4 linked regions of the Elephas maximus indicus genome follow. The protein of the gene in region 2 purifies or fractionates together with the protein of the main gene of each other region. This does not show direct contact. Links are inferred from orthologs where the notes say so. Each region holds a gene or a part of one and is shown on either strand. Other genes may lie near its edges.

Region 1 (7,927 bases), on a different chromosome or scaffold from region 2:
GCCCTGCCAGGAGGCTGGGGTGCTGGAAGGCAGTCTGCTCGGTGGAGGAAGTAGAGATAGGAGGCTGAGGGCACCTCAGACCCAGCCTTGGTGTAGCACGCACTCTCTGTAGCACAGCCCCGAGTGGCAAATTTGGTGTTGATGATTCCTGGGGAAGAGATTTCAGATTAGAGACAGGGCCCCCAACCCTTACACCCCAGCCCACTATCTTCTTCACAACCTAGGAGTCCTGGATCCCAGCAACCTCCTCTCCTAGTTCTCTGGAGCCCCCTTATTCCCTGGAGCCCAGAAGTCTGGGCCTCCAATTCCGAGGCCCCCTCCTCCTCCAGTGACCCAGGTGCTCCTCACCAGCCTGCACATTGCCAGCAAAGTAGATGCAGTGGGTCTCCTGGCCAACACAGCGGGCTGCCTGGGTCCCAGGACAAGTCTCCTGGAAGGGCGCAATGCAGGCTGGGCACTGGAGGCCATTCTCGGTTCGATTGTTTTGGGGAGCTGGGGGGAGTGCAAGGTGAACAAGGACATTAAAGCCCATCCCCCAACCACACAACCACTCTGGGGGATACAGAGCCACCACGTATTTTACATGTGGGGAGTCTGAGGCTCTGTGCAAGTAAGGTGCTTGCCAGATGTCACCACACAGCTCTTGGGACAGGGCTAGAAGGGGCTCCCTGCGCGGGCCAGGGTAGATGCTTACAGGGTATGGAGCCTTGATTGCAGCCATCGCTCTGGCAGCAGTATGCATTGGAAACCATGTAGTCCTTGGGGCCCATGGTGGTGGACACAAAGCCGGAGTAGCAGTCTTTGAACTTCATGCAGGCCTTGTAGGTGTTCACCGACTGACGTCCCTCTGTGGGGTGGAGGATGGAATAAGGGGCTGGGCAAGGCATTTGGCCACACCCAGCCTCGAGGGCTCTTCTAACCCTACCCGCCCCCACCAGCAACTGCCTGGGACAATCTCTTCCAGCCCCAAATCTATACCCCCTTATCTGCCTGGGGTGGTCTCTTGCAGCCCTCTAAAGCCATACGCCTGGTCCGCCTGGGTATACTTTGGAGTGGCATGTTAGGAAGCCCTCCCTACTCATTGCCTAGGCCGCATTAGGTCTTTGGGGGTCTACTGCAGCTCTCCATTGCCAACTCCCCAGGTGCCTGCTTGACATGGTCTCTTTCAAACCACTCCACTGCCATCCTTCTCTCCTGTCCAGCCTGTAGTGGGCTTTTTCAGGCCGTTTAATGGTTACCCCCCATGTCTTCTTGAGGTGGTCTCTTCCAGCCTCAGAACTTTCGCCCTCTGCGCCTGGGGGGGTCACTTCCAACAAACCCTGGGATACTGCACACTCCCGCCCCAACACCTGTGCCCCTACTCTGTCTAGGGCGGTCTCTTCCACACTCCCCCATGGTCCATCCCCAGGCCTCCCTTTGATGGTCTCTTGCTGCCCTCCTTCCAGCTCAATCCAGTGGTTTCCCTTCTTTCTCTCACTCCCAAGGGTGACTTTTCTCCAGCTCCCTTCAACACCCCTTCAGGGTCTATATCTTCCCCTATCTGCTGTGGTTGCTCTCCTCAAGCCTTTCAAGTCCTTTCTGCCACCAGCCAACGTTTGCTGCGTGGGTGGGACTGCATGCAATCTTCTAGCCCAACTTTCTTATACAACTTTTCCTGTCAGGGTGGTTTCTTCCTACACGCAGGGTTACCCCTCATCTCCTGTCACAGCCTCTCCTCCTGCATCTTGCCCCATCTCTCCTCCTGTGAGGAATGGTCTCTTTCAGCTTTGAAAGAAAATCCCCCCCCCCCCCAGTGGTCTATTCCATTGGTGTTCTTTCAGCCTTTCTCAGGTCTGGAATGGTCTCTTCCATTTAAGTCATGCTCCCCCTCTTCCTTCCATTTCATTCTTCGTCCCCAGTCCCCCCCCTTAGGATGATTTTCTCCATAATTCGTAGTTATCGTCCCCCCCCGTCTGGAATGGTCTCTCCCTCTCTCCCTCTACCCCAACATCATCTCTCCTCCTCCTGTCAGAAATGGTCTCCCCGACATCCCTGAGGTGGTCTCTTCAAGACATCTTTTGGTCGATTCCTCCCTCTTGTCCAAAATGGTCTCTTCCCTGATCACGTTCCTCGGACCTTCTCCCAGTCTCTTCCTTCTTCTCTATCACCCTCCCGTTCTCCTTGCCTATTAGATTCTTCCACTGTATTTCTCTGTTCCTCCTTGTCCTTTCCTCACCCCCTCCCGCCTAAGAAAGTCTCTTTAAGCCCTCCCCCATAGCCATCTTCTTTTGGAGTTGCTCGTTTTTTAAAAATCTAAAAATGGCTTGTGTCTCCATTCAGTTGTCCTCCCTCCACCTTGTGATGGTTGTTTCCTCTTGCCTACCCCATCCAAATTTCTTCTCACGCCTCACCCTGCTTGCGAACTGGGATGACCCCTCCCGCACCGCCCCCCCCCACGCCCCGCTTCCGCCTGGTGGTATCTTTTTCCCACCCTGAAGGTTCTCCCCCAGCCCCCTAGCTATGGTCAGAAGCCCTGCAAAAGCCCTGCGTTCGTACTTGTGCTCGACTCCCCCACGACGACTACGCACGCGTCCTTGCCATCCTCGCATGTCTTCATTTTTCCGTTGCACGTGGGCCCAGGGCCCTTGCACACCTCACAGCTTAGTGGGCATCCTATAGGGTAGAGATCGGGGCTGTAGTCATGGGCGGTGCGATTAGTGGGCCACGACTCCCACTTCGGAGTCCCGAGGGAGATGGGGGCAGGGTTTGAGGGAGGAAGGGACTGGATTTCTGGTCCTGAGGAAGGTCCAAGGCCCAGACTGATGGGTCTTGAGAGAGGCTGGTGTCTCTCTGGTTTTTCATGGGTGGGACATTGCTGCGTGTCCGGGGACCTGTCCAGAACTCTGACAGGAACGCGGTGATGATGTCACCAAAGCTGCTCCCAGGGCAGGAAGCGACTCCACCGTGAAGCCTGTTACCTAATTACAAGGCTGGGGGCTTTGGAGGACAGGATCCGCAGAGAAAGCTCAGAGCTGGGAGGGTTCGTACTGAAGGCTTTCATGAAGTTTCAGGTTCAGCTGGTTCAAGGGTTTGGAGCCCTCCCACTTGCAGATACAACTTAGGTCTTGCAAACAGTAGGAGCTCAGGCAGCGGTACCTGAAGCTGGAGTTTGCCTCCAGTCCAAGGAGGGAGAGTGAGGACCAGGAGGGCTGGGGGCATGGACCCCTTAGTGTTGACAGAGGAGGGGCTGGGGGCCCAGACACCTGGGTCATGGAGAAAGTGGGGCTGGTGTCCAGACTCCTGAGTCTGAGGAAGGAGGGGCCTGGGATGCTGGGTCTGAGGGAGAAGAGGGCTGGGGGGCTGGACCCTTGGGTCTGAGGGAAAAGGGGGCCTGAAGTTATTAAGAGTCCAGGGAAAAAGGAGCTCTCTCTCATTCATATTCTCTCTCTTAATTAAAAAAACAAAAACAAAACAAAAAAACCCTTTCTAGTCATGCTCTCATCTGATTTTCTAGAATTTGGATGTGTTGCTTTGGGACCCTACCTAAGGGAAAGAGGATTCAGAGCCCATCAAGCCCCCTTCTCTCTCAGGGGTCCAGTCATATGAGCATTTCTTCCCTTGGGGCCCCAGACTCTCTGTTAGTGTCTGCCTCCTCCATGAGTCTGTATCCCTGGGTACCCCACTTTACCCCCTGAGGACATTTGCTGAATGTTCTTTTATAGTCCCTGCTTTCCTGAGGGTCCCAGGAGTCCAGGGCCCCAGTCACTCACCGAGACCCAGAAGGGTGCAGAGCAGCGTGAAGGTCAGCAGGAAGGCCCTGGGTCCAGCAGAGGTCCTCATGGTGTGTGAACCTGTAGTCCCGTGTCCCCAGCCCTTATAGGAAGCTGAGGAGGGGCGGGTCCAGACCCACCTTCACCTGCGGTGAGAAGGAGCTGAGGTCAGATTGAGCCCAGGGCAGGTCTCTGCAGCCCCCGGGTAGGGGAGGTGCAACTAGCATCCAAAAGGTATCCAGGCATCTGGTGCCCAGCCCCCTCCTCCACTGGAATCCCGGGAGTCTGGGGTTCCAGCACCCTCTTCCATCAGGACCCAAGAGATCACTTTCCCATTTTTCACACCCACATCTTCTTTACTCAAAGCCCAAGGTCTGAGTGGGGTCACTGTATTCCCTGTGGGTGCGAAGCAGCTACAAGGACTGGGATCCCCTCTCACCTTCCCAAGGAGGCACCTAGCATGGGTGGGGCCCCACCTGGGAGTGCCCAGCATGTCCATGCTTGTTCTGCAGGACCCAGGCGACTTGTCCTCCTTCCCTTTTCCTTCTAGCACTTGGCTCATGCTCCCTTCTTTATGTCCGGGCTTTCTCTGGCGCCGACCCCGTCCAGGGCTGCACGCCTGGGTCTGTTGCGGACCGAACAGAGGGGTGCCTGTCCGCGGCTAGCGTGGGCGTGGCAGGAGACAGATGCTCACAGGTCACATTGGGGAACTGAGGCGTGGGTGGGAGTACTCTAAGCTGTGTGTGCGTGTGTGTGTGCGTGTAGCCAAGGGAGCCGATTAGGCTCCCCGCGAAAATCCAACTCAGGTTGGCTGTCTTGTGTTTAGGCTTCAGTTTGGGCGGTGATCGCATTGTCCAATGAGAATGGCGAATTTCTCCTGGGGACCAATCCCGGAGGCCGCTCCAGTTGCTAGGCGCCCAGGAAGCAGGATGTAAACGTCACCGGGAGGAGAGGTTAGAGCAGTGGGGTCAGAGAGAGGCGGGGCTAGAGAAAAGCTTGTTGCTGGGTCCTCGCCACTCCGCGCCTTAAAGGCGCAACTGAGCATGCGCAATGTCGACGCGGGCGCCGGCGCGCCGCAGTTTGAAAGGCCCGAGCCTTGCGCGCTTGCGTACTGAAGCCCGTGCAGAGGAGCGCCCCCACCCTCCCCGCCCCCAAACCCAGGCCCACTTGCCTCCTTCGGGCCAGGCGAAGGCCACGACTTTGACATGCCGGAGATCCGCCTCCGTCATGTCGTGTCCTGCAGCAGCCAGGACTCGGTGAGGGGCCGGCGTGGGGGAGGTTGGAAGACGTAAGGAGATTAATGAGGGGTGCTCTACAAGAACCTTTGGGGGTGTAACAAGGAACTTCAGGAAGGTCTAAGCAGAAAAAAAGCCAAGGGTAAATTTCCAGGAGGGTCTAAGTGAACTCTGGGAGAGATGTGGGATAGAGGAACTTCCGGGCGTCTGTGGAGTTTCCGGAGAGAAAAGGAGCAATAGGGGAACTTTCTCGGGAGAGCCTGGAGGTGAACTTCTAGAGGAGAAGGTTGTAGAGGAAACTCAAGGCAGGGTGTGGGGGGATTAACAGAGGAACTTACATCTGGGGGATCGCAGAGAGCTTGGAAGGATTCGGAGAAATAATCTGAGAGCTGAGCCTAGCTCTCATCTCAGTGCCATAACCCTCTCCCATTCTTGTCCCTAGACCCACTGTGCAGAAAACCTTCTCAAGGCGGACACTTACCGGAAATGGCGGGCAGCCAAGGCAGGCGAGAAGACCATCTCTGTGGTCCTCCAGGTGACCCTGCCCTCTCCCCACCTTCGTCTCACCAGAAGTCTGGAGACCCAGGGTCCAGGCTCAGCTCTTGAGTCAGCTGGCAGTGCACTGAGTCACTTTCCCTTCTGGGCCTCAGCTTCCTTACCCCGAAAATGGGTTGTGTGATCCCTGTGCCCCACAGCATAGAAGAAAAGAGACCCAAGAACTAGGCCAGAGATGACCATGGCATCAGGATGTGGCCCTGGTAGGTTGCTTCCACATTCCGGGCCTTATTTTCCTCAATGGGAACAGAGTGAATTATTGCCATGTATCCTGACTACTAAGGTCAGTGGACTCAGCGCAGGAAGGTGTCCAGGAAGATCATTTATGCCAGTCAAGTCCGTTTTTAACAATGAGGAAACTGAGGTGTAGGAAGGGGAAGTGAAGTGACCAGTCTCAGCTACCATTTCTGGAGTGCTGGCTGGCGTTTTTCTGAGTACTTTTTGTACATGTTCTCACTGAATTCACTCCACAGTCCTGTGAGGTTATTAATGTTGTTAATGTTTTGCTATCACATTGATTCTGTCTCACGGCCACCGCATGTGTGCAAAGTATAATTGCTTCATAGGGTTTTCAAGGCTGTGACATTTCAGAAGCAGATGGCCAAGCCTGTCTCCTGAGGCAACTTTGGGTAGATTCGAACTGCCAACCTTTTAATTAGTAGTTGGGCACTTAACCATTTGTACCACTAAAACTTCCTGTGAGGTTGGAGGGAGGCAAATAGGAGAGAGCAGCTTGACCTGAGATAGTTACAGAATTCCACACAGGATGTTCTTGTCAGGAATACGAAAACGATGGGAGAAGAATGCCAAATGTGTATTAAGCATCGACTGTTTCACCTGCGTGATCTTGGTTTTCTGAGGCTGAGATTGTACTTACTGCTTTCTGTTTAGACACTTTCTTGATTTTGGCCACATTCCTTAGTTCTGAATGTGGGGGTGTTTGGGAAGGAATGTTGGGAAGGCTTGCATGATTGTATTTGACACTGAACAATCTTGGTCTCTGTATTGACCAGGGATTCTAAAAAAAACTTTGGGATCATAGAGCCTTTTGAGAATTCGATAGAAGCTGAGAATTCTCTTCCCAGGAAAAATACACAGACCCACAAAATTTCCTGAAACCCTAACATAATAATAATGAGCACTAACATTTATTTATGTTACAACCTGCCAATCACCGTTCTAAACACCTCATATGGATTGACTTGTTGAGTTCTTATAAAAAGCCCCGTGACCTAGGGTCTATTATTATCTCCATCTTGCAGATGAGGAAACTAAGGCCCAGAGAAGTTATGCAGCTGGCTCAAGAGTCAGTGTTTTAAATTGAGGGAGGTACAGCTTGCTCAGGATTTATTATCGGGACCTGAATTCATGCTCTCCCTCTTACTCACTCTCTGACCTCAGGCAAATGTTTCGTTTCTCTGAACCTGTTTTCTTATCTGTCCATTAGGAATAATAAGATCTAAGCCCAGGGTTGTTGTGAAAATTCAGTGACATAATGTCTGCAAGAGTGATCTGTCAACATGCAGGTGTTTGTGTAAGGGGTGGGATTTATGTTATTATTACTGGGTGATGATTCTCCTGGGCTTCCTTATGATCAGGTGACCCCAAGGGAAATCATGTTTGAGTTTGCATGTTGCAGTGGAAACACGGAGACTGGAGGCAGAAAAGACTGGACGTAGAGGGTGAGGAAGCAGGAGGAGCCAGATGAGGTACCAGGTTCTTTGGCTGGGAGACTGAGGGCAAGAGTGCAGCTGAAATGGGTTACCCAGAGAGAGAGCAGCTTGGGAAGGTGATGTGTTTGTTGGGACATCCAGGTTTGATATGACTTTGGGGCATTCATGGGGCAGCATCCAAGAGACAGTTAGGGATTGGATATGGAGCCAGAGCCAGAGGTGTGGGACTTGTCAGCACAGGGACAGGACCAGAAGGCCTGGGAGTAGATGGATTCGTTCATTCATATGTTCATGCATTTATTCAATAGGTATTTATTAAACACCTTCTGTAGAGTCAGAATCAACTTGACGGCAAGTGGTCATAGGCCACATGGAGACCCTGGGTGGTGTAAGAGGTTTATGTGCTCGGCTGGTAACCAAAAGGTTGGAGGTTTGAGTCTACCCAGAGGTGCCTCAAAAGAAAAGCCTGGCGATCTTCTTCCAAAAAATCAGCCATTGAAAACCCTATGAAGCACAGTTCCACTCTGACCATCAGTTGGAATCAACTCAATGGCAGCTGGTACTGACACCATAGACCACGCACTGTTTTGGGTGTTGGGCTTTAGAACAGCGGACAGCACAAGCCGAAAGGTATCTCAGGCCTTGTGGGGCTTTCATATTGGCAGGGAAAGACAGACAAACAAGTCGATAAGTAAAATATATGTCAGATGATGAG
Region 2 (6,660 bases):
CGTTGTCCTAAACATTTTAATTTTCCTTTACTTATTGCTTTTAAAATCAGTAACTTTTCCTGGGTTGCTCTGCCTCTCTGGCTTACCAGACTCCTGATGTGATCACTTACACTGAAGTGTGATCAATGCTGTCATCACTTGCTCGCAGATAGTTGGAAGGTTAGGGTCTGGAGGAAACAGGACAAAGAAATAAGAAAGGAAAAAAAAACCTTCATTTGGCCAAATTTGACTCCTAATATATTTAACCAGTTCCAGAATTAGAAAGCCTCTCTGTACATTTTCTTCTATGGCTCTCTCTTTTTTCTTATGTAATGAAATTAGAACTTTTCGAGCCCACAGTTGACATTTTTTCCAGAAAATTGAGTTATCAAAGCAGTAATTATTTCACGGGGAGATAAAACTCTCACAGCCCTAACTGTCCAATGGGGCCCTTTTCAGGTTTTAATTACAGAATAAAATTAGTCCGCTCTTCCTCGGAATGGTTAGCGAGTGGTTAAACAGAGCTTCCCCCCAGTACTGGTGGTCGTCAAACTCTGCTAATTAGCAATGCTGAGAAATTCCAGTTAACAAGGACATTCTCCAAGACTCTGCAGGTTCCCTGCCGTCTGCCTTCATTTCCATAAGAAGATTAAGAGAGGAGGGGAACACACTCAAATTCAGATGCAGAAAAGAAGCGTTATTTAACAAGCATCATAATAGTCAGATGCTTGGCTAGTTCTCACCTAATTACTGCAAGTTAAACCACTATTTGCCACTAAGAAGAAAAAATAAGTCTACAGTCCCCGTCTCCACAAAATTGTTAGTTGGCTTTAGATATAATACTTGAAGATTTAGAGGGATGTGGGGGCTTTAGGAAAGATAAATCAATGCAAAAAAAAAATCTTTAAAATTGAGTTACACTTAGCAGCCCTTTTTGGATCCAGCCTACGGTAAAACAAAATCGAATCAGAATATTCCAGTAGTTATGCATTTGTTCCTTTTTTTTTTTTTTTAACCTTGCGCTAAAAGTTCTTAGGGTTTTTTTTTTTTTTTTTTTTTCCCCTGCCCATGGAAGGGAAATGTTTCACTCTCTTTAGATTAAGGACTTTCCGTTTTCATAAATTGTGTCAATGGCAACGTTTTAAACTCTCACAGGACAAAGAACTCTGTTCCAAGTCTTATTTTGGTTCCCTAGTAGTCACTGGTGTATTGTTATACTGTAGTTGTCTGCTAAGATCCTGAAACAGTGTTGTTCTGTCGACTCTTGTGGTTGTTATAGTTAGTATTATATTTAGGGGTTGAAATAGAGTGGCCAGCGATCTGATTTTTTTAATACATATGTTCCAAAAAATCTAACGAGAAAATTGTCTCTGCTATCAGCATCTTCTTTAATCTGGTTTTCTTAGCACATGGTTATTCATAAATGCCAGCCACAGTTAGTTTATCGCCTTGATAAGTACAGCAGGCTTAATTAAAATAAAGCTGCACATAAATGCAACCAGTAAGAACACAATTGTAATGTATTTCCATACCTTATTTATATGATAAAAGCAATTAACAAAGGACCTAGCAGCCCCTTTAACCTCTTAAATGCATTATGATAGAGTTCGGGCTGAGAATGTGCAAAAGGTTTTATATATCACCTTAAGGGGAAAAAATTGTGCATCTTGCTATGATTGAGGAAGAGAGAGAGATTAAAAAGATTTCCTTCTCTAACGATCTGTTATTAGTATTTATTTCCATACGTATACAGCACTATTATCGGCACCAGCCCCTTGGGTTTTTTTATTCGAACTTAATTATCCAAGAGCTTTTTTTTTTTTTTTTTTTAGTTTTCGGAAGAATGCCATTAAGCGCAGACCAGTTCGTACCCAATCATAAAGTGAATGCTGGGTCTGCCCTTCGTGGCTTCTGGACAATAATCATTCATTCATATGTTGAATCTCATAATTCGTACGTATTTTTTCCCATGGCTTAACCTCCCACTTATCTCGAGGTTATATGTACATTTCTAAGCTAAGCAAATTAAATCTGATTCTTATGATTTGGTCCACAGCTTGTATGATATGTTAACTTTTCTTTTGTTTAGATTACGTGTAATTAGTTTGATCTTCCTCCCATCCCCCTCATTTTTTTCCCTTTAATCCCAAACACTTTCTTTTTAAGGAAAAGGCGTAGTCTTGGGAAAACAAATCCACCAGTAGGGGGCGCACCAGCCACATCCCTGAAACAAGCCGCGCTGAAAAGCTGGTGGCCGCGGTCTCCAGCTCTCTCAACCTTTTCTTTCCTAATCTCGACGTCAGCGTTTACTTTAATATAACACCTCGATTAAACAGAAGACATTGCTTTATTTTGAAGACTACCAATACCACATATTCATACATATCGAGAAGTCCAGCTTCACCCTTCTTGAGTTCCCGAAAGCAAACACAAACGGCAACTTAGAAAAATGAGAACCTGTGGGGGAAGAAGGGTTGGTTCGAAATAATTTAGTCTGCAGGATTTATTTTTTTCATAACTTTTCTGGATTTCCAGTGGGCACACTTAGCTTGAGTTTGCCAAGAAGAGAAAAGCCAGGAGGGCAGGGATTGGGGGAAGCTTGAGGGTTTTTTTTTTTTTTTTTTTTTGAGGGGTGAGGGGGCGGTTATTGAGAAGAAGACAGTAAGGAACAAAACAATGCCCCGTTTTGCAAAGATAACAAACGGAACGTGGCCGGTGGATACCATTCAGTACGTTTGCTTAGGGTGCGTAAGGGAAGGTCAGGGGAGGGGAGGGCGGTGAGAGTTACAGAAGAAAATAAGTAACCCTGATGGTTTAAGCCCTTTATAAAATAGAAATGGCATCAGGTTTTTTTTTTTTTTCTCCTCCCTCCCCCCCTCCCCCTTTGGAGTCAAGTGCATTTTAGCCACAAAGATCCCAACAAGAGAGTGGAAGGAAACTTAGACCGGGCTTTGTTTGACTCCGTGTAGCGACAACAAGAGAGACAAAACTACCTATTTGTAACGGACGTGCTGCCACTGCTCTGGGCATTGAGCGCCTACCTACTGAAATCTTTACGTCGGGACAATGGGAGAGCGGCTAAAATTACCCTCTTGGGCCCTGGGCGGGCACCATTCCTGAGTCCCTACCCCCACCGCGCATCCCATCCTCCAGCCCCCGCCTTCCTGGGCTCCCCCTGCCCAGTCCTGGCCCCCTTCTCCCTGCAAGCGCAGCCTGCACCTGTGCGTGGCGGGCCCTACCCCCGCCTCCCAGGCCAGGAGCCCCCTCGAAGCGCAGCCCCCTCGGAGATGCGGCCCCTGCCTCGGAGCCAGCGGGGGGGTTGCCCAGGCTGGTTCTGCTGGAGTCCTGGGAACTCTGCGTGGGAGGGAGTTTGTGAGTCCGCCCAAATGCCACCTCCGTGTGCGCCGTGAGATGCCTGGAAGTTGAAATCACTCTCCCCCCACTGCCTGTACTTTTGAGCGTCCTTCTGTCTCTTTCTTCTCCCAGCCGCCGTTGGAAACCCGCACAACTGAAATCCTTCTTTGGGTAGTCTCAGGAGAAAAATGGGGAGAGGGTACGAGCGTGCGCATCCGTGGGCACCGACCGAGTTGGAGGAGACGGTGGGAGCTGGGGGAGGGGGCGGCAAGGGGACCAGCTGTGGTTTGCTGGGCCAAACCCGATTCGGGCAGGAAAAAGGGTGGTTGCCACAGCTCACCAAGGCCCTGCCTGTCCTCGGCTCTAGAGTCTGCCTCATGGCCGGAGCAGGATTTCTTTTTAAAAACAGAGCAAGTTGTGTGGAAACAATGAGGGTTTTGGGGACAGTGTTTCCCAGACTCCGAACTTCTTGTCGGGACCGTGAGAGGGGGCCAGAGAGCCCTGGCACCCGTGGAGGCCGCGGGGCCGCGGGAAGGGCGCGGAAGGAGAAGCCTCGAGGGGCTGCAGCTGGGCGGACGTGCGCGGAGGAGAGGGGGACAACGACACCAGGTCCTGCACGGCCTGCTTCCTGAAATGCTAGCCGGCCAGTCGCCCGGAGCCAGCCCTCGGCCCTGCCCGGCCGCCGCACCTTAGCCCCTTCCCGCATTTCAGCGCTCCACAGCAAAAAGTAAATCAATGTTAAAGTTTAAAGGAAAAAAAAAAAACGTAGTCTTAGTACTGTTTACCCACTTCCTCCGAAAAGGCGTGTGGTGTGACCTGTTGCAGGGAGGGGATACAAAGGTTTCTTAGTGGCTGGCAGGCGGGCTATGGGAGCCGCCCCCTCCCCTCCCCTCCCCTCCCCTCCCCTCCCCCCCTCCTTTCCCCTCCCCCTCCTTCCCCCTTCCCCCGCGGGCCGGCGCACAGGCCCCGCCCCCTTTCATGCAAAGCCGGCGGCGAGGCCGGGCTGGAGTGGAGGAGCCGGCGCGCGCTGATTGGCCGCTGGAAACCCATTTATTCCCTGACAGCCCCATCACATGGACGGTTGTCTATTAACTTGTTCAAAAAAGTATCAGGAGTTGTCAAGGCAGAGAAGAGGGTGTTTGCAAAAGGGGGAAAGTAGTTTGCTGCCTCTTTAAGACTACGACCGAGAGAAAGAAGAGGAGAGAGAACGAAAGAAGTTCGAGCCCCAGACTTAAGCCTTTCCAAAAAATAACAACAGTCGGCGGCGGCGGGACCGTCCGGAGGAGGAGGAGGAGGAGGAGGAGGAGGAGGAGGAGGAGGAGGGCAGCGCGGTGTCTGATCTTGATTGCAGTTGGCCTCTTTCTTCTTCCCCGCAAATTATCCTTCGTCTGCTTTTCCGCGCCGAGCCCCGCGCTCCCGCCGCCCCCGCACGCCTCCCCTCCTCTCCCCCCCGCCCGCGGGCCCCCCAAAGTCCCGGCCGGGCCGAAGGTCTGCGGCCGCCGGCGGGCCGGGCCCGCGCACAGCGCCCGCATGTATAACATGATGGAGACGGAGCTGAAGCCGCCGGGCCCGCAGCAAACTTCGGGGGGCGGTGGCGGCGGTAACTCCACCGCGGCGGCGGCGGGCGGCAACCAGAAAAACAGCCCGGACCGTGTCAAGCGGCCCATGAACGCCTTCATGGTGTGGTCCCGCGGGCAGCGGCGCAAGATGGCCCAGGAGAACCCCAAGATGCACAACTCGGAGATCAGCAAGCGCCTGGGCGCCGAGTGGAAACTTTTGTCGGAGACGGAGAAGCGGCCGTTCATCGACGAAGCCAAGCGGCTGCGCGCGCTGCACATGAAGGAGCACCCGGATTATAAATACCGGCCCCGGCGGAAAACCAAGACGCTGATGAAGAAGGATAAGTACACGCTGCCCGGCGGGCTGCTGGCGCCGGGCGGCAACAGCATGGCGAGCGGAGTCGGGGTGGGCGCCGGCCTGGGCGCGGGCGTGAACCAGCGCATGGACAGCTACGCGCACATGAACGGCTGGAGCAACGGTAGCTACGGCGTGATGCAGGACCAGCTGGGCTATCCGCAGCACCCGGGCCTCAACGCGCACGGCGCCGCCCAGATGCAGCCCATGCACCGCTACGACGTGAGCGCGCTGCAGTACAACTCCATGACCAGCTCGCAGACCTACATGAACGGCTCGCCCACCTACAGCATGTCCTACACGCAGCAAGCCACCCCCGGCATGGCTCTCGGCTCCATGGGCTCGGTGGTCAAGTCCGAGGCCAGCTCCAGCCCCCCCGTGGTTACCTCTTCCTCCCATTCCAGGGCGCCCTGCCAGGCCGGGGACCTCCGGGACATGATCAGCATGTACCTGCCCGGCGCCGAGGTGCCGGAGCCCGCCGCGCCCAGCAGACTTCACATGTCCCAGCACTACCAGAGCGGCCCGGTGCCGGGCACGGCCATTAACGGCACACTGCCCCTCTCGCACATGTGAGGGCCGGCCGGCGAACTGGAGGGGGCAGATATTTGCAAAGAAAAAACGTGGGAAAGGGCAGGGGGCGCGAAAGTGGAGAGAGAAAGACACCGCCCGGAGAAAAAGCCGATTCGCTCAACTACGGCAAAAATCTCATCGCCCGCAGCGAATGACAGCTCCAAAACAGAACACCGATCCCATCCACGCTCAAGCAAAAACCGCCACGCTGACGAAGAAACTTTTATGAGAGATCCTGGACTTCTTTTTGGGGAGTATTTTTGTACAGAGAAAAGCGGGGTGGGGGGGTGGGGAGGGCGGGGGAATGGACCTTGTATAGATCTGGAGAAGAGAGAACTACGCAAAACTTTTTAAAAGTCCTAGTGGTACGGTAGGAACTTTGCAGAAAGTTTGCAAATGTCTTTACCAAGAATATTTAGAGCTAGTCTCCAAGCGACGAAAAAATGTTTTAATATTTGCAAGCAACTTTTGTACAGTATTTATCGAAATAAACATGGCAATCAAAATGTCCATTGTTTATAAGCTGAGAATTTGCCAATATTTTTCAAGGAGAGGCTTCTTGCTGAATTTTGATTCTGCAGCTGGAATTTAGGACAGTTGCAAACGCGGAAAGAAGAAAATTACTCAGATTTGGACATTTTAATTGTTTTGAAATTGTACAAAAGGAAAAATCAAGAATACGTACTGGCAAAACCATCTCCGTGGTCTTCTTTAAAAGGGCAAAAGTTTTAGATTGTACTAAATTTTTTAACTTACTGTTAAAAGCAAAAATGGCCATGCAGGTTGGCACCGCTGGTAATTTATAGTAGCTTTTGTTGCTCAACTTTCCATTTTGTTCAGATA
Region 3 (7,659 bases), on a different chromosome or scaffold from region 2:
TGACCTAGTCGTGAATGAGAAGGGGTGGTCAACAAATAGAGTATATCCTTCACAAGATGCTGATAAGGTCAAAATAATACAAAGCTGGTAAAAGGTCAGAGAGAAAAGGTGGGCAGTGTAGGAAGAGTTGCCTAAGTCTTGTGACACCTTTTGGGAATGGGCAGAGGTGCCTGGGGGAGTCGTTGTCCCAAGTGCTGGCCTCTACTCTCTGAGTTTTATTCTTCTGCATTTTGGCCTCATCATCTTCACTGTCCTGTTAGCTCTCCGATGCTTTCAAACAGATTTTATTTTTAATACTTTATCCAACTAGGCCTTAATTTTTAAGTACAAATTGTAGCAGGTGGGGGGAAGGGAGGTATAAGTGTGTGGACCTAGAGTTCTAGACTCAGACTGAGTTCAAATTCTGGCTATGTTGCTTACTAACTTTGCTACCTTCAGCAAATTATTTCGTCTGTGTACCCCGGTTTCCTAATAGGTGAAAATAAGGGTAAGAGTAACTTCCTTACAGTGTTACCACGAAAATTAAATATTTAATGTAAAGCACTCAGACCAGTGCCTGGCACCTAATTGTTATAGCTACATTTTTCTTACATGTGTCCTCATCATATACTACTACGTACTATTCCATGTTCTCAGAATCTGTCTTTTCCAGATCATTTAGAAATACCCTAAAAGCTGCACCCAACATAGATCAAGACTTATCCATGCTAAGAAGTATCCCAATTCTGTTCTTTCACTGAGCCAGTAGTACCTCAATCCCATCTCTCTAGTTAAAATTTGAGTTTGGTTAAAAAAAAAAAAAGGGGGGGGGGAGACATCAAAAAAGCCAAAGTTAAAAAATTAAAAGGCACTCTTTTGGTAGAAGTTAAGCAATGCAGGCAGGGAGGGTGAAAATTATAACTAACTTTTGAGGATCAATAGTTTTTGATGGTTACCCTAAGAAACCACCTTTTGCTTAAGAGATGACCACCACACTGGATGCCTGATGTTCGGTTACAAAGGCAAAAAATATCCTGAGTTTCATACCTTGTTGGGTACCGTGGATTTACAGCTAGAAGACAGCTGAGGTGACAAATTATTACTTAATGATTATAGGTCAAAGAGAGCTGTGATAGTGCTTTTACACATCATTTAACCTTCATAACTCATCATTCCCACTCTACAGATGAGATTACTGAGGTTCAGTTTCCCAAAGCCATGTAACTAGTTAAGGATCAGAATTTTAAACCAAAGCCAACACCTTGAAGTTCTAAAATTTGTTACTTTCTTTTCCTCATACATGTTATCTGGACTGATTATTTGAAGATTTGGGTAAATAAAAATTAGAATATCAGGTCAAGCTTTACCAATCAGTCTGACATTCCTAAATCTGCATGTACATTTTTTCAGATTCAATCAGACATATTTGGTGTTTGCTATATGCAAGGGATTGTGAAAAATTTAAAGATGAAAAGCAATTACTGCCCTCAAAGAACCTGCCAGAAGAACACAATAAACATTAATGTTTCAAACAATGTGGATGGGTGGACAGGGCAGCAAAACAGTGAGTTAAAAAAATGTAAGCAGTTTATCAAAAAGTTTTTATTCTTGACCCCCACGTACTTTAGTTTACGGTGTTGAAAACTAGACTCCTTACCAATGCTGGAAGATAGAGAACAAAAGGGAGGGAAACGATATTTTCATAATGATCTGCCTTTTATATCAATCTGATCAGAGTCCAACTACTCATTTAGTGTTAAAGGCTGTGAATTTCTACTTAGGAAAATTTACGTATCATAAGAAATACTTACTAAAATGTCTTAACGAGAAGCAAGGCAAATCTGAGCGACTAGATGCTTGGCCAGGGCCGATCAGGAAAGGAATGCCAGTCTACAGACAGAGAACAAAGACTACCATTCCTGATCTCTAGTTCACAACTGAAACCAATAGAAAAAACCAAAAAGATCGAGCCTTTCACGTACAAGCATCGCGAAACTTCTCTCAATCTCATTTGGAAACGGCAAGCAAACCATCCTGGAGTTCCTTCCCTCTCTCTCTCATCTCATTTCACTGTCTCTAGGGTTATTTTTCCTTCTTGAATGATGAAGGTGAACGCACATCATAAAATAAAGGGGGCCAACCTTTTGGCTTGTCGCAATTAATCATTTTATCAGCCGAAGTCGGAAATCTCATTCGGAAAACCTCAAGCTCGGATTCCCACAGGTCGCTCCTACCTGGGGGAAACTTAAGCTCCAGTTACCGCTAAGTCCGACCGGACCCCACAGTAGACGGCGCGCTGGACAGGGCACTCCAGCCTCACCTCGGCCCTCCCTCCCACGGTCCCTCTCCAACCGGGCTGTGTCTTCATCTCTTACACCACCCACCACCTGCAATCGAAAAGGCTTTCTTTCCCTTTGGGAGAACAGGGAAATAAACATTCATTTCTGGAAGAATCTGAGCACTCAGAGCGCGGGGCAGCTGCAAGAGGTGGGAAAGGGAAGGGTTGGAAGGGTGACGGAGAGCTCAGCACCATCCATCAAGATCTCTGCGCTAAGAGATCGCCAAGCCGCCTTCGGGCCTCCACTGCAGCCTAGAAATTCTCCCTCGCACCCTGCGAAAGAATGAGGCTTTGGAAACCAGGTTCCCGAAGATAAGAGTAGGGGAGTTCACGAATGCCTCGGTCCCGAGGGGGCGGGAAGCGAGAGGAACAAAGCCGCTGCCACCCACGCCCCCGGGTGGCCGGGCGGCCCGCTCACCTGCCGTCAGCAACTGCATGGCGTGAGTGAAGGACGGGTCCAGCGAGTCCTTCTCGGCCATAAGCTCGGGCAGGTACTTGTTCTCTGGCTCCATTTTAACGGAGGCAGTGGCTGAGGGGGGCAGCAGCGGGGTCGGCGCTGGACCTACTGTCGCATCGGGACCGGTGGCCGAGGGCGGCAGCAGCGGTGGCGGCTGCGTGGCGGGCGAGGCCCGGGCGCCCCCCCGGGATCCTCCTCCGCCTCCCCGGGACCGGTGAGGCAGCGGGGGCTGCCGAGACGGTGTCTGACGCACTGAGGGATGGGCACCTGAAGGGTCCATGGAGCCACTGCGGCCCGAGGACCGGCTCATGCGCGCGGCGGGATCGTCCCGGCGCTGCATTTGGGAGGACGTGCGGTCAACGGATCGAGGAAGAGACGCGGCAGCTGCAGAGGCCCGAGCGGCGGTTGGCGAAGGTGGGAGAGCCTGGGCGATCGCGACCGAAGCCGACCCGAGCGACCCAGCAAAAGAGAGCACCGGAAATGAGGCGGCGCGCGTGCGCAGCCAGCCACCGGCACCGCCCTTGGGTTTATCCGCGGAGAACAAAGTCCCTAGTGGAGTCACAGCGCCTGCGCACCACCTAGGCGCCCGAGGAAGTCGCCTCCCCACTCCTCATTTCCCTCTGAGCCCGCTAGGCCTAAGGTTTGTGCGCGTGCGCGGGTGGCTCCGGCTTCGTTCGTTTTCTTTTCCACGTGACTCGGCGCTAGCGGGACACGTGTCTCCTCCCCCTTCTGGCCGAGTGCGCGGAGGGGGCAGGGACTGTGGAATGTCTTTGTCTGCGCGGGGGCCCGCGGAGTGTGGGGCGGGAGAGCTGTTACTCGCGGGGCCACGCCCCCTTCAACGGCTGAGCTGTGGGGCCAGGTTGCGTTCAATGGGCTGGGGGTGGGGGTGGGGGTGGGGGTATGGGGTGAAGTGGGGAGTCGTTGAAGTGTGGAAACGAAAGGAGAACCGAGTAGCGCACCGGGAAGGAGCGAGAATTGAGGCCGCTGGGCAGGAAAGAGGAGGGAGAGAGGCTGCCTAAGTGTGGAGAGGGGGAGAGAAAGGGAGTAGGAGAAAGGGTGAAGAGGCAAAGACTAATGGAGAGTTTGACGTAGGGATGAGGAGTGGAGATGGGGAAGGGAAGCTTGGAGGGATAAATTGAGGAAGGACGGCTTAGTGGGGAGACTAAATGCTGTTGGGAGAATTTGAACTAAGAGGGAAGATTCAGATCGGAGACCTGAAATCTCGCAATGGCACGCACAAAGGGAACCAGAGAAGTCTTATCCCATGGCTTGCAATACAGTAGGCTCTTAAACGTTAACCTTTGTTGGTCAGAGAAGTCTTCGTAAAGGAAGGAGTGTTTTAACACTTATTTACATATCGGTCTGCTTTCACTCAGTCTGTTTCTTCCGCAAAAAATGGGGCTAGAGCTTAATTCGTGGCGGTTGCATCATGTGGGGTGTCTCTTCTTCGGATGAGTGACTTCGGATGAGCGTTAGTCCTTCTGCCTCTGTTGGGCCCTCCATGATGGATTATTCCAGACTTGCTCAGAGAGACAGACCCTGCTTTGAAGACCAGGGTACACACCGCACAGTCTCCGTGCGCGTTCGCCTCTTGCTGGGGCTGGTATATGCAAAGTGGAGCCCAGGTCACTACTTTCCAATGAACATTCCCATAAAAGGTTAGTGCCTTCTCTAACCTTTCCTTCTCTCCACAGATTTTGACTTCCCCCATTCAAAGCATTCACTACCATCCCTTTTCTTTCTTGATCACTTCCCCCAATGAGCCCACACTGTTCAAAAGCATTTCTGGAAATTTTCTTTTGGGTGCCTTGAAACTACTGAATTTTGAAATCAGTGTAATTTGACATTATTAAATGTAATCATTTTTGAAACTTACAAGTCTTCAACTAGGGCACATAAGGGCCTGGCTACCTTTTTCTGGTGGGGGTGGGAAGAAATTACCTACAGAAATCATTACAAAACACAGATATCTCCATAAATTGTCTTGCCTGTCTTACTCCCTCAGTGCAACCACAGTGCCCCCCCCCCCCACCCTTATCTCCAGTGTTTGGTGCGGCACTTTACTTTGAGGTCACATAAGAAGTGGCTCTTGTCCTTAGTTTATAGTCCAGTAGGAGAATAAAAGAATGTTTTGAATAATTGTAATGCAGAATGCAATATGACAAAGTGTCAAAAGATAAGGGAAAATTAAGGGTTACCAGAGATCAAAGCAGGGGAAGAGAGATGTCAGCCTGGGAAGAATGAGTTCCAGGCAAAGGGGAGCGTGAATAAACGAGCAGAGATGAGAACGTCAGAAACGCGTCAGAAACGCATTCACGGAATGGGAGTAATCCATTTGTGGACTGTGAAGGAATAGGTGGGTTGGGTGGAGAAAGAGACTGCATGGAGGGAGGAAAGGGGGCAGAGAGGATTTATAGCTCCCTTGCAATTCATTTCTGCCGCCATCCCTGAAAATCCTGCTTGGGTGGTGGTGTTACAAATGACTGAAGTGTCCTTGCTCTGTAGTGAGATGCCCAGATGGAGGTACCTTGAGCTGAGGCTAATAAAACTTTGATAAAGAAGTGTCTGAGAAGGAGTTGGGTAGTGGTGCCTATGGGTTTTCTAGACTAGGATCAACAGACTTTTTGGGTGGCAGGCAAACCTTTGCTTACTTTCTCTGAGGGTGGGTTGAGGGAAGCCTGTGTAACCTCCACGAATGGGGGATCCAGCAGGCTTCAACCACCTCCTCTGTTGTTGCAGCCAGTTCCCAGGAGAGAAAGGGCCCTGGGCAGGAGAATTTCTCTTCCAAGAGTGTAGTTAACCTGTTCAGTCTTAAACATCTTTAATCAGTTGTCATTCAGTCCTTTCCTACTCATGGGGGCCCCATGTGTGTCAGGGTAGAACTGTGCTCCGTAGGGTTTTCAATGGCTAATTTTTTGGAAGTACATCACTTGGTGCCAAATATGTGGAGGGAGGGGAGAGGGGACACAGAAATGGGGACTCAACATTGAGTAAGAGAGAGTCCTTGCCCTCCAGGAGCTCTTCATTTAGTGAAGACAAATACGTAAGCCAAGAGTTACCACATAGTGTGAAAAAAGTTATAATAGAAGAACATACAGACGGTTGTGGGAATGCACAGGAAGGAGTGACCAACTGTGGCAGGTGGTGAGTTAGGGAAGCTGGGACTTGGCTGGCTGCCAGGTGGAGAGGGAGCAGGGCATTTAAACGTTGGGCGTTCAGCAAAGCTTGGTCTTGTGCCTGTACTGTCGCCTCCGTGCCCACAGCTCTGGAATTTAGATCTTCAGCCCAAACTTCTAAGTTCTAAACCCAGAGGCTGTTTGTATACCTGACATCCACATTTGGATGTCTCACTGTCCTTTCAAACTCAACATGTTTTTACCATGGTACTAGCAGAGCAGCTTTAGGGCCCAAATGACTTAACGTAGCTCAAAGCTTGGGGAAGCTCCTTCTTCTTGAACACAGGCCTGCTCCAGCACCTTGAGGGCATCCAAAAAAAAAAAAACAAACCCATTGCCATCAAGTCAATTCTGACCCTGTAGGACAGAGCAGAACTGCCCCATAGGGTTTCCAAGGAGCACCTGGTAGATTCAAACTTCTGAGCTTTTGTTTAGCAGCCTAACACTTAACCACTATACCACTAGGGTTTCCTTGAGAGCATCAGGGCTAGAAAAACATAAGGAGGCACTCACTTTCCAGACTTGCTTGCCTCACTCTAGCCCTGGTGTTGCCCTTAGCACCCTCACAGTGGGCACCTTTGCTAGGGGCGGTGGGCGGGAGCAGAAGGGAGCAGAGCAGGGCTGATGTGCCCGCAGACTGCCTTGTCTATCAGGCACATGTGAAAAGTCCCTTGAAATGTCCCAGAAATACCTGTAGGGACTTTGCGGGGGCAAGAACAGAATATCTTCATGATTGATGTTCCTGTGGCTTTGTTTGAATCCACAGTCCAGAGAGGCCTGCTTGATGTTTGAACTATAATGATCTTTTTGGCCTGCTTCCTCAAACAGCAGGTGAGCCACTTTAAGGCAGGCACCATTTCTGTTTATGTATAAACAGAGACAGGTACAGAGAGGGCATTCAGTAAATGCCTTCAAAAAAACTCCCATTCTCCACCCTGCCTTCACTGCCAACCTGTGTTCACTATCTTAGGGAACAACACCCTCAACTCACTGCCCAAGGCAGAAATCTGGGAGTCGTCCTTAACTTCTACCTGCTGTCTCATAGCTCTACCCGCATCGTATCAATTCATTACTAAGTATTATTGTTTTTACCTCATAAATATCACAACTCCCGTCCACTTTTCTCTATCTCCACTGCCTCTACTTCCTTCTGAAGTGCCATCATGTCTCACCTGAACTCCTACCACCTCTGACCTGGTCTCCATACTTCCACTCCTGTGCCTCTTCCATCCATTCCCCACCTAGAAGCTAGCATATTTAAAAGCGCAGATCTAATCATCTTTCTTCCCACCCTCCATTCTGTCACAAACACACACACATACACACCTGGTTAAACCTTTTCAGTGGCTTCCTCTTGCCCTTAGATAAAGGCTAGAATCCTTTATCTGACCCAGCCCTGCTTGCATGGCTTGGCCCCACCTGGCTTTCTTGCTTCATCTCAGGCTATTCCCCTCCTTAGTTCCTGTGCTTGGCAACCCTGGCCTTTTTCAGTTCCTCAGACAAATCAAGACTCCTGTGTCCCCCAAACTTCACACATTTTGGTTCCTCAATCTAAATCTCCAATCACTGCTCCCCTCCCTGCAATCCAGCCCTCCCTGCCCCTGCTGCCTTTTTTTTTTTTTTTAAAGATACCATAATTTCTACTCATCCTTCGGATGTATTAAAATGTCACTTCTTTAGATCCGGCAACTTTATATTCTTAGTTAAAA
Region 4 (7,600 bases), on a different chromosome or scaffold from region 2:
TTCCTAAATTCTTTTGAGTTCTGGGAATAAATCTATTTAAGACAAAACATTTTGATTTTATAAATGTCAAATCTTGTAGTCCTTTTCATGGTTTCTTAAAGCTTATACCCACCCACTTTATAAGTCCCTTTTATATGTTATTTAAGGTTATGTGTTTCTTAATTTCACTTCGGTGAATCTATCAAATTGATACATATAGTTAAGTCTTTACATCTAAGTACATTCAGGAAACCCTGGTGGCGTAGTGGTTAAGTGCTATGGCGGCTAACCAAGGGTTTGGCAGTTCGAATCCGCCAGGTGCTCCTTGGAAACTCTATGGGGGGCAGTTCTGCTCTGTCCTGTAGGGTTGCTATGAGTTGGAATGGACTCAGCGGCACTGGGTTTGGTTTTTGGTTTAAGTACGTTGAAACTTGTGAGAACCGGAACTCAACGGGGCTGCCTTGTTTTTCCAGGTCTCGCAAGTTTTGCACCTTTGGCAGGGTGCTGCCTTATTCTTTTTCTTTTGTTTGTTTTAGTGAAAAATATTTGTGCTTTCTGTCTCTGACAGGGTTTTTTTTTTTTTTTTTTTTGCCTTACACGGGTTCCAGTTTTTGCAGGTTTTACCGTATATCCTAATTTCCTTTATGGTTTATTTGATCCAAGAGCTTTTTGAAAAACAAGAGTTTGAAGTTTACACAGTTGTTCCTTTGTGCGTTTCTGATATTATTTCTGTTTTTATTGCTTTTGTGAGTGTTCCAGAATTGGTGTGCATGCTCAATTATACGTGTATGTGCTTGACCCTGTTTTATGTCCATCACAGCAAGCGTATTAGCAGTGCTCAGATTTTTTAGGCTTACTTTGTGTCTGATCTGTCACAATGATGCAGTGATTGTGGGTGTGTGCCTTTTGCCTTGTAACTCTGCTTTTGCTTTAGATGTTCCATGAGGCTGTGTTGGGTTCAGGATTCCCTGTTTTTTCATTGGGAAAAAATTGTTCCTGGTAATGCATGTTGTATTCACGTATGTCCTTCCTGGGGGTTTAGTACTGCTGAACGTTTTTGGTATTTGCCTGGTGAGTCTTTTCCATCCCATTAGCCCGAATTTTGTATGCGACTCTCGGAAACAAGGTAATTTTAAAAGTTCAATTTGAAAATGTCTTTAATATATTTGCAGTTATTGTGTTTAATAAATAATATTTATAGAGCACTTAGAATTGTGCCTGACTGCCATATGTTTGTCAAATTAAAAAACACAGCTTCCCTGCCTCCTCCCTCCCCTTTCTGCATTTTGTGTTGTTAGTGCTTGTCCTTAGGATTTTAGCATGCGTGCCATAGCTCTGTCTTCTGCCTCCCAAAGAACGAAGGAACCTTTAAATGAGCTCTCCTTATCCTGTGATTACTAGAACTTTGTTGAATCTTGTTTTAAAACCTCCCCAAGTTGGTCATAATTATGTATCACTTTTTTAAATCACTTAAAAAGAAACTGGTGTTTAGGGCTACCAATCTGTTTTAACAGTGTTTTTGCTAACCATTATTGTTCGGTTACTACATTCTTTAGAAAGGGTTCTTTCAGTAAACTTTGTCTTAAAATATCAGTCTGGTCCTTCCTTTGACTGGTAATTTAGTTACAAATAGAGTTCTAGGTTGATAGTTATTTTCCTCTGCATTTTTCAAGGCTCTTTCTTTCTTTGCCTTCTGGCCTCAGTTGTTAAAAATCTATCCCAAAACCTGTTGCAATCAAGTCAATTCCGACTCATACGGCACCCTATATCTTAAAAAAGAAAAAAAAAAAAGATGTCTGTTATCTAAATAATTGGAGTCCTGATGACACAGTGGTTAAGAGCTACATCTGCTAACCAGAAGATTGGCAGTTCAAATCTACCAGCTTTGGAAACCCTGTGGAGCAGTTCTGCTCTTCCTGTAGGGTCGCTATGAGTCAGAATTGACTCGATGGCAACGGGTTTGATTTTTTTTTTTTTTTTCTAAATGACATTCTTTCGCAGATAGTCTTTATGGTTGCTTTTAATAAAAAAAAAAAAAATTTTTTTTTAATATCTACTATATAAAGTCTCGGAAACCCTGGTGGTGAAGTGGTTAAGTGCTACTAAGAGGTTGACAGTTCAAATCCGCCAGGTGCTCCTTGGAAACTCTACATGGGGCAGTTCTACCCTGTCCTGTTGGGTTGCTATGAGTCGGAATCGACTCGACGGCAGTGGGTTTGGGTTATTATCCTGGGTGGTGGTTAGTTGTTCATGGGGTCGCCATGAGTCGAGGCCAACTTGATAGGAGCTAACAGTAACATTTTCTCTCTGATCTTTCCTTCTGATTTTCTTCAGATTTATGTTGAACCTTCTAATTCTGTATCCATGCCTCAATACATTTGTGTACTCTCCTGGATAATTTCCTCAGGTCTGATTCCGAGATCACAAACTCTGTCTTGTTGCTAGTTGCTGTTGAGCTTCACCAAACGTTGCCTGGTTCTGCGCCATCTTGATAATCATTGGTATGTTCGAGTCTGTTGTTGCATTCATTGGGTAGTTCCTTCCAACCTAGGAGGCTCATCTGCCACCACTATCTTGGATAAGAGCCTGTTGTGATCCTTAAGGGATTCACTGACCAGTTTTTGGAAATAGAGCGTCAGGCCTTTCTTCTAAGTCTGTCTTAGTCTGGAGTCTCTGCTGAAGCTTGTCCACCATGGGCGACCCTGCTGACACTTGAAATACTGGTGGCATAGCTTCCAGCATCATAGCAATACACAAGCTACCACGGTAGGACATTCTCTCATTAGTTCTATTTAACTTGCTTTAAAATCCCAGTGGTTAGTAATAATTATGATTTTGGATTGTTTTCCTATGACCTGATTGTTTTCTGTTTACCTGTAGCGTAGCTGCTGTTCCTTTGGTTTATCTTAATTACTTTATGCATGCTTCATTTTCTCTTTCAGGTTCTTATTTCAGTTTCGGGGGCGGGGGGGGGAGTGTTGTAACTTAGGCATCCTGAGTTCTTTCTTCGTATTTAGGATTTAGTTATGAGCTTGTCTTTGGCAGAATTTGTGTTTTCTGTGGGAATCTTTGCGACGTGGATTGTGGAGATGTTTCTCCTCCACACCTTTGTTGCGGCACTATCCTGGGGTTAATATTCGTTAATTTTAGGAAAGCTTGGGGCACTGCAGGGTAATGCAGGTAATAAAAGTCAGTTTAGCTTTTAGGGCCTCAGGCTCTCTGGGCTGCCTTCTCCTTTCCTCTTAGTGGTTCAGTGGGAAGAGCTTTTCTTGCCCCTCTTTTTTGGAGTTGCAACCCCGTAAGTCTTGATGAGCCCACGTTTATGTAGGAATCTTAGTTACAGCCACTGGTTTCTTGTGCCTGCAGAGCAGGCCTTCAGCCTGAAACCCCAACGCCCTCCCACTCCTCTGCTTCCCTCTCACACAGATGTACAGGCTACCTCAGGATTACTGCTCTTGCTTGTAATTCCTGTTTGCTTCTGGCCCTTGAGCTCTTTCTGTCTTTTAAAAAATTGCTTTATTGTTGTAAAAATATATATATAACAGAACATTTGCCAACTCAACATTTTTTAAGTTTACGATTCAGTGACATTGACTATGTTCGTTACATTGTACAGCCATCACCCACTGTTAACAGAAGGTCAGTGACCCTAAGCAATGAATGACTCCCCCTTTTCTACTCACCTCCCATCATTGGTAGCCGCTTATAAATTTTGGTCTCTACATTTATTTGCTTATCCCATATATTTCCTATTCTTTCTCTCTCATTGGGAGCTAAGTCGTCTCTGCAAGTTTACTTTTTGTAATGTGTCTACATTTCTAGGTACTTGTAGTAGGAAGTCCTGTTAGCTCGCTGTGTGACTTTTGGAGTTAACTGTTTTGGTTTACTAGCTTCTGGATTGGTTAGAAGCGAGTCTGAGCTCTGTATGCTTCTTCCTAATCTGTCGTATAGTAGGTACTAATCTGTCGTGTGGTAGGTACTAATCTGTCATGTGGTAGGTACTAATCTGTCGTGTAGTGGTACTGATCTGCCGTGTAGTGGTACTGATCTGCCGTGTAGTGGTACTGATCTGCCGTGTAGTAGGTACTGATCTGCCGTGTAGTAGGTACTGATCTGCCGTGTAGTAGGTACTGAACTGTTGTGTAGTGGTACTGATGTGCCGTGTAGTAGGTACTGATGTGCCGTGTAGTAGGTACTGAACTGTCATGTAGTGGTACTGATGTGCCGTGTAGTAGGTACTGATCTGCCATGTAGTAGGTACTGATGTGCCGTGTAGTAGGTACTGAACTGTCATGTAGTGGTACTGATGTGCCGTGTAGTAGGTACTGATCTGCCGTGTAGTAGGTACTGATCTGCCGTGTAGTAGGTACTGAACTGTCGTGTAGTAGGTACTGATCTGCCGTGTAGTAGGTACTGATCTGCCATGTAGTAGGTACTGAACTGTCGTGTAGTAGGTACTGATGTGCCGTGTAGTAGGTACTGATCTGCCGTGTAGTAGGTACTGAACTGTGGTGTAGTGGTACTGATGTGCCGTGTAGTAGGTACTGATGTGCCGTGTAGTAGGTACTGAACTGTCATGTAGTGGTACTGATGTGCCGTGTAGTAGGTACTGATCTGCCATGTAGTAGGTACTGATGTGCCGTGTAGTAGGTACTGAACTGTCATGTAGTGGTACTGATGTGCCGTGTAGTAGGTACTGATGTGCCGTGTAGTAGGTACTGATCTGCCGTGTAGTAGGTACTGAACTGTCGTGTAGTAGGTACTGATCTGCCGTGTAGTAGGTACTGATCTGCCATGTAGTAGGTACTGAACTGTCGTGTAGTAGGTACTGATGTGCCGTGTAGTAGGTACTGATCTGCCGTGTAGTAGGTACTGATCTGCCGTGTAGTAGGTACTGAACTGTCGTGTAGTAGGTACTGATGTGCCATGTAGTAGGTACTAATCTGTCGTGTAGTAGGTACTGATCTGCCGTGTAGTAGGTACTGATCTGCCGTGTAGTAGGTACTGATCTGTCGTGTAGTAGGTACTGATCTGCCGTGTAGTAGGTACTGATCTGCCGTGTAGTAGGTACTGAACTGTCGTGTAGTAGGTACTGATGTGCCGTGTAGTAGGTACTAATCTGTCCTGTAGTAGGTACTGATCTGCCGTGTAGTAGGTACTGATCTGCTGTGTAGTAGGTACTGATGTGCCGTGTAGTAGGTACTGATGTGCCGTGTAGTAGGTACTGATGTGCCGTGTAGTAGGTACTGATCTGTTGTGTAGTAGGTACTCTGTAAATGTTCTGGTGTTGTACAGGTGGAAGTGTATACGTGTTTGGAGTCATGATGTAAAATTTATTTGTTACCATAGGTTGCTTCCCAAATCTGGAAAGCATAAATATAATAAAACTGTGCAAAATGGAATAACTCATAATTTTGGCATTATTTGACCTCGACATCATGCAGCCTCAGCAACGTGGTGTATCTGCCTTAAGAATATATGATCTCATGTATTCTTTTGTAATCAGAATATTTCTTTTGAAAATTCCTGGAACCATAGTTTCTGGAAAGGCTACTGAAAGCCTAGCTTCAGTTTGGCTGAGTGGATTTATAACAGAACTTGCTTAATTGGTTGAAGTTATTTTATACTTTTGCATGTAGTAGACCTGTTCTATGGAGTTTCTTGTTCATAGGTTTAATAAAGTGATTTAGCTAGTCAGATTTGAAGAAGTAGGAGAACTTACACTTTAATACTGCTGCTACCACTTGCCAGCACTGAAAGGGGCAGCGTGTGTGTAGTTCCTGTCTGGTTTATGGGACCAGAGGCTGCAGCCTCTCAAGTAGGGAAACAGAACTGCTTTTTACTGTGTTACCCTGTGACGTAAGAACCAACTGAACCCACCGGAGGTGAAGCAGAATTTGTGCTCCTGTTTTCTGCTGAAGGCATTATCTGTACTAATAACTTGTAATTAGTATTGACAACAGGAAAATATTGTTTTTGTTTGATAAATGGATGGAGAATTTGAGCCAGGGGTAAAATTACACTAATAGCACGGTAGTCAGATTTCCATGTTATCTCCCAGGAAGACAAAGCAGGGGTGTGTGTGAGAAGACTTTTTCTATTTGGGTAGTGAGAGCTACAGAAACCCGGAAGAGTGTCTTTATGTCATTCCCATTTTAAGTTTCCTGAGGACAGGGACAGTGTGTTCATCCTTGTAGACCCAAAGTCTTGCACAATACCTGGCACATGGAACGCGTTGGGCAGATGAGGTAACTGAAGGTCTGCCTGTGTCTAGGAAAACAAGATTCCCAAAATGAGCCTGCCGGTTAAGTGATCAAGTGGGCAGTGCGTCTCTCTGCCTCAGAGTCACCTGTTAGTTTTATTTAGTTTAGGCTATTATTAGGCTATTTCAGAACTTTTTTCTCCTGTATCAAGAAGGGGTTTAGAGCATGAGACCTGGAACCTGTTGACAGCCTGACAGGGATAATGGTTAGCTAACAAAAATTATTTCTGTCACGTAGGGCCAGTAGTTGCTGAGATGTGGTCCACCTCACCCTTCCTCCATTTCCTACCCTGCACCCATCCCCCATTATGTACTGAAACTTGGCAGTCTTGTCATTGACCAGAGATTTTTAATTACAGGATTCGTTCCAACGATCTGGTAAAACATGGTGGATTACTATGAAGTTTTAGGCGTGCAGAGACATGCCTCACCCGAGGATATTAAAAAGGCGTAAGTAATTTTATTCTTGAAATAATAAATTTTTGTAATTTTACATTGGTAATTGGGTAGTGTAATTTTGTATATTGCCTATTAAATGGTTTTTGATGTATTGTAATAGCCTTTTAATGCCACACAGTTTAATTTTCACTTTAACAGAACATTCATAAATTGACATTGGTATTCTCAAACCTAGGCATAACCTAGTGGAATTCTGTTTCTGCTTTATAAAGTTCAAAAAAATTACTGATCATATGAAGTAATGCAGAAGAACCTGGAGACTGGGTTTTGAACTGTGATTGACTCGGTCCTCTTAGGCACCTTTTCTCGTAGTGCGGACCCAGAGCGTAGCACCGTAACTTACTAGGTGTAATTGCTTAAAGATCTAGGCTGCTAGACTGCATCCTAGACCATTTGAATCAATTCTGATTGACATTAAAGCTGGAGAACTACTCATTGCCTGTGGTACCTTAATGTTTCTGACCAGGGCTTGTCTGATTTGAGGAGGGCAAGTCCCGGGTGACAGAACAATTTGTAGGTTGGCTCTGAAGGTAACTCAGATCTGTTCACTTAGATGTTAATGATAAATATTGAGCGTACAGCAAAAAGGTCATTATTTATATTTTGTAGATTTTAAGCATAGCTAGAGAGACCAATTAATAATCCTGAAAGAAGTGGAAATTAGGTTTTAGTGTATGTTAGAGGAACCAACTTTTTTGTTTTTGTAACAGTCGTTAATCCGGAATGGAGTTTATGTTACTAGACTTAGTGGATCTTCACATGAAAATAAAAGTTTTTTGGGGGGGAACCAAGTAGTTCACTTTAAAATGCTAAATTAGGATGATTTCTGTGTGGGGTAAACTCAGCCAGGGAACCAGTGGAGAATAGCCCATTGACCGGATGCCAGCTCGGCACCATAAA

The links.
Region 1: the proteins of SOX2 (region 2) and XRCC1 purify together in Homo sapiens (affinity purification with mass spectrometry; 3 studies listed by BioGRID and IntAct, with this or other methods). This does not show direct contact. The link is inferred for Elephas maximus indicus from reciprocal best matches to the Homo sapiens genes SOX2 and XRCC1.
Region 3: the proteins of SOX2 (region 2) and KHDRBS1 purify together in Homo sapiens (affinity purification with mass spectrometry; 3 studies listed by BioGRID and IntAct, with this or other methods). This does not show direct contact. The link is inferred for Elephas maximus indicus from reciprocal best matches to the Homo sapiens genes SOX2 and KHDRBS1.
Region 4: the proteins of SOX2 (region 2) and DNAJB6 purify together in Homo sapiens (affinity purification with mass spectrometry; 3 studies listed by BioGRID and IntAct, with this or other methods). This does not show direct contact. The link is inferred for Elephas maximus indicus from reciprocal best matches to the Homo sapiens genes SOX2 and DNAJB6.

The regions. Positions count from the first base shown.
Region 1 is NC_064829.1:106,923,386-106,931,312, forward strand, and holds the start of XRCC1 (DNA repair protein XRCC1), read left to right. Parts: upstream 1-4,867; 5' UTR 4,868-4,954; coding exon 4,955-5,005; intron 5,006-5,426; coding exon 5,427-5,519; intron 5,520-5,536; exon of another isoform or gene 5,537-5,742; intron 5,743-7,927. Other genes in the region: PINLYP (phospholipase A2 inhibitor and Ly6/PLAUR domain-containing protein), read right to left, coding at 1-148, 349-492, 695-847, 2,536-2,652, 3,750-3,819. UniProt on the Homo sapiens protein: Scaffold protein involved in DNA single-strand break repair by mediating the assembly of DNA break repair protein complexes. Negatively regulates ADP-ribosyltransferase activity of PARP1 during base-excision repair in order to prevent excessive PARP1 activity.
Region 2 is NC_064819.1:33,262,122-33,268,781, reverse strand, and holds SOX2 (transcription factor SOX-2), read left to right. Parts: upstream 1-4,823; 5' UTR 4,824-4,863; coding exon 4,864-5,820; 3' UTR 5,821-6,081; downstream 6,082-6,660. UniProt on the Homo sapiens protein: Transcription factor that forms a trimeric complex with OCT4 on DNA and controls the expression of a number of genes involved in embryonic development such as YES1, FGF4, UTF1 and ZFP206. Binds to the proximal enhancer region of NANOG.
Region 3 is NC_064821.1:72,957,742-72,965,400, reverse strand, and holds the start of KHDRBS1 (KH domain-containing, RNA-binding, signal transduction-associated protein 1), read right to left. Parts: upstream 3,322-7,659; 5' UTR 3,115-3,321; coding exon 2,736-3,114; intron 1-2,735. UniProt on the Homo sapiens protein: Recruited and tyrosine phosphorylated by several receptor systems, for example the T-cell, leptin and insulin receptors. Once phosphorylated, functions as an adapter protein in signal transduction cascades by binding to SH2 and SH3 domain-containing proteins.
Region 4 is NC_064838.1:2,562,546-2,570,145, reverse strand, and holds the start of DNAJB6 (dnaJ homolog subfamily B member 6), read left to right. Parts: upstream 1-4,142; 5' UTR 4,143-4,477; intron 4,478-4,525; exon of another isoform or gene 4,526-4,672; intron 4,673-4,694; 5' UTR 4,695-4,914; exon of another isoform or gene 4,915-4,980; 5' UTR 4,981-6,626; coding exon 6,627-6,691; intron 6,692-7,600. UniProt on the Homo sapiens protein: Has a stimulatory effect on the ATPase activity of HSP70 in a dose-dependent and time-dependent manner and hence acts as a co-chaperone of HSP70. Plays an indispensable role in the organization of KRT8/KRT18 filaments.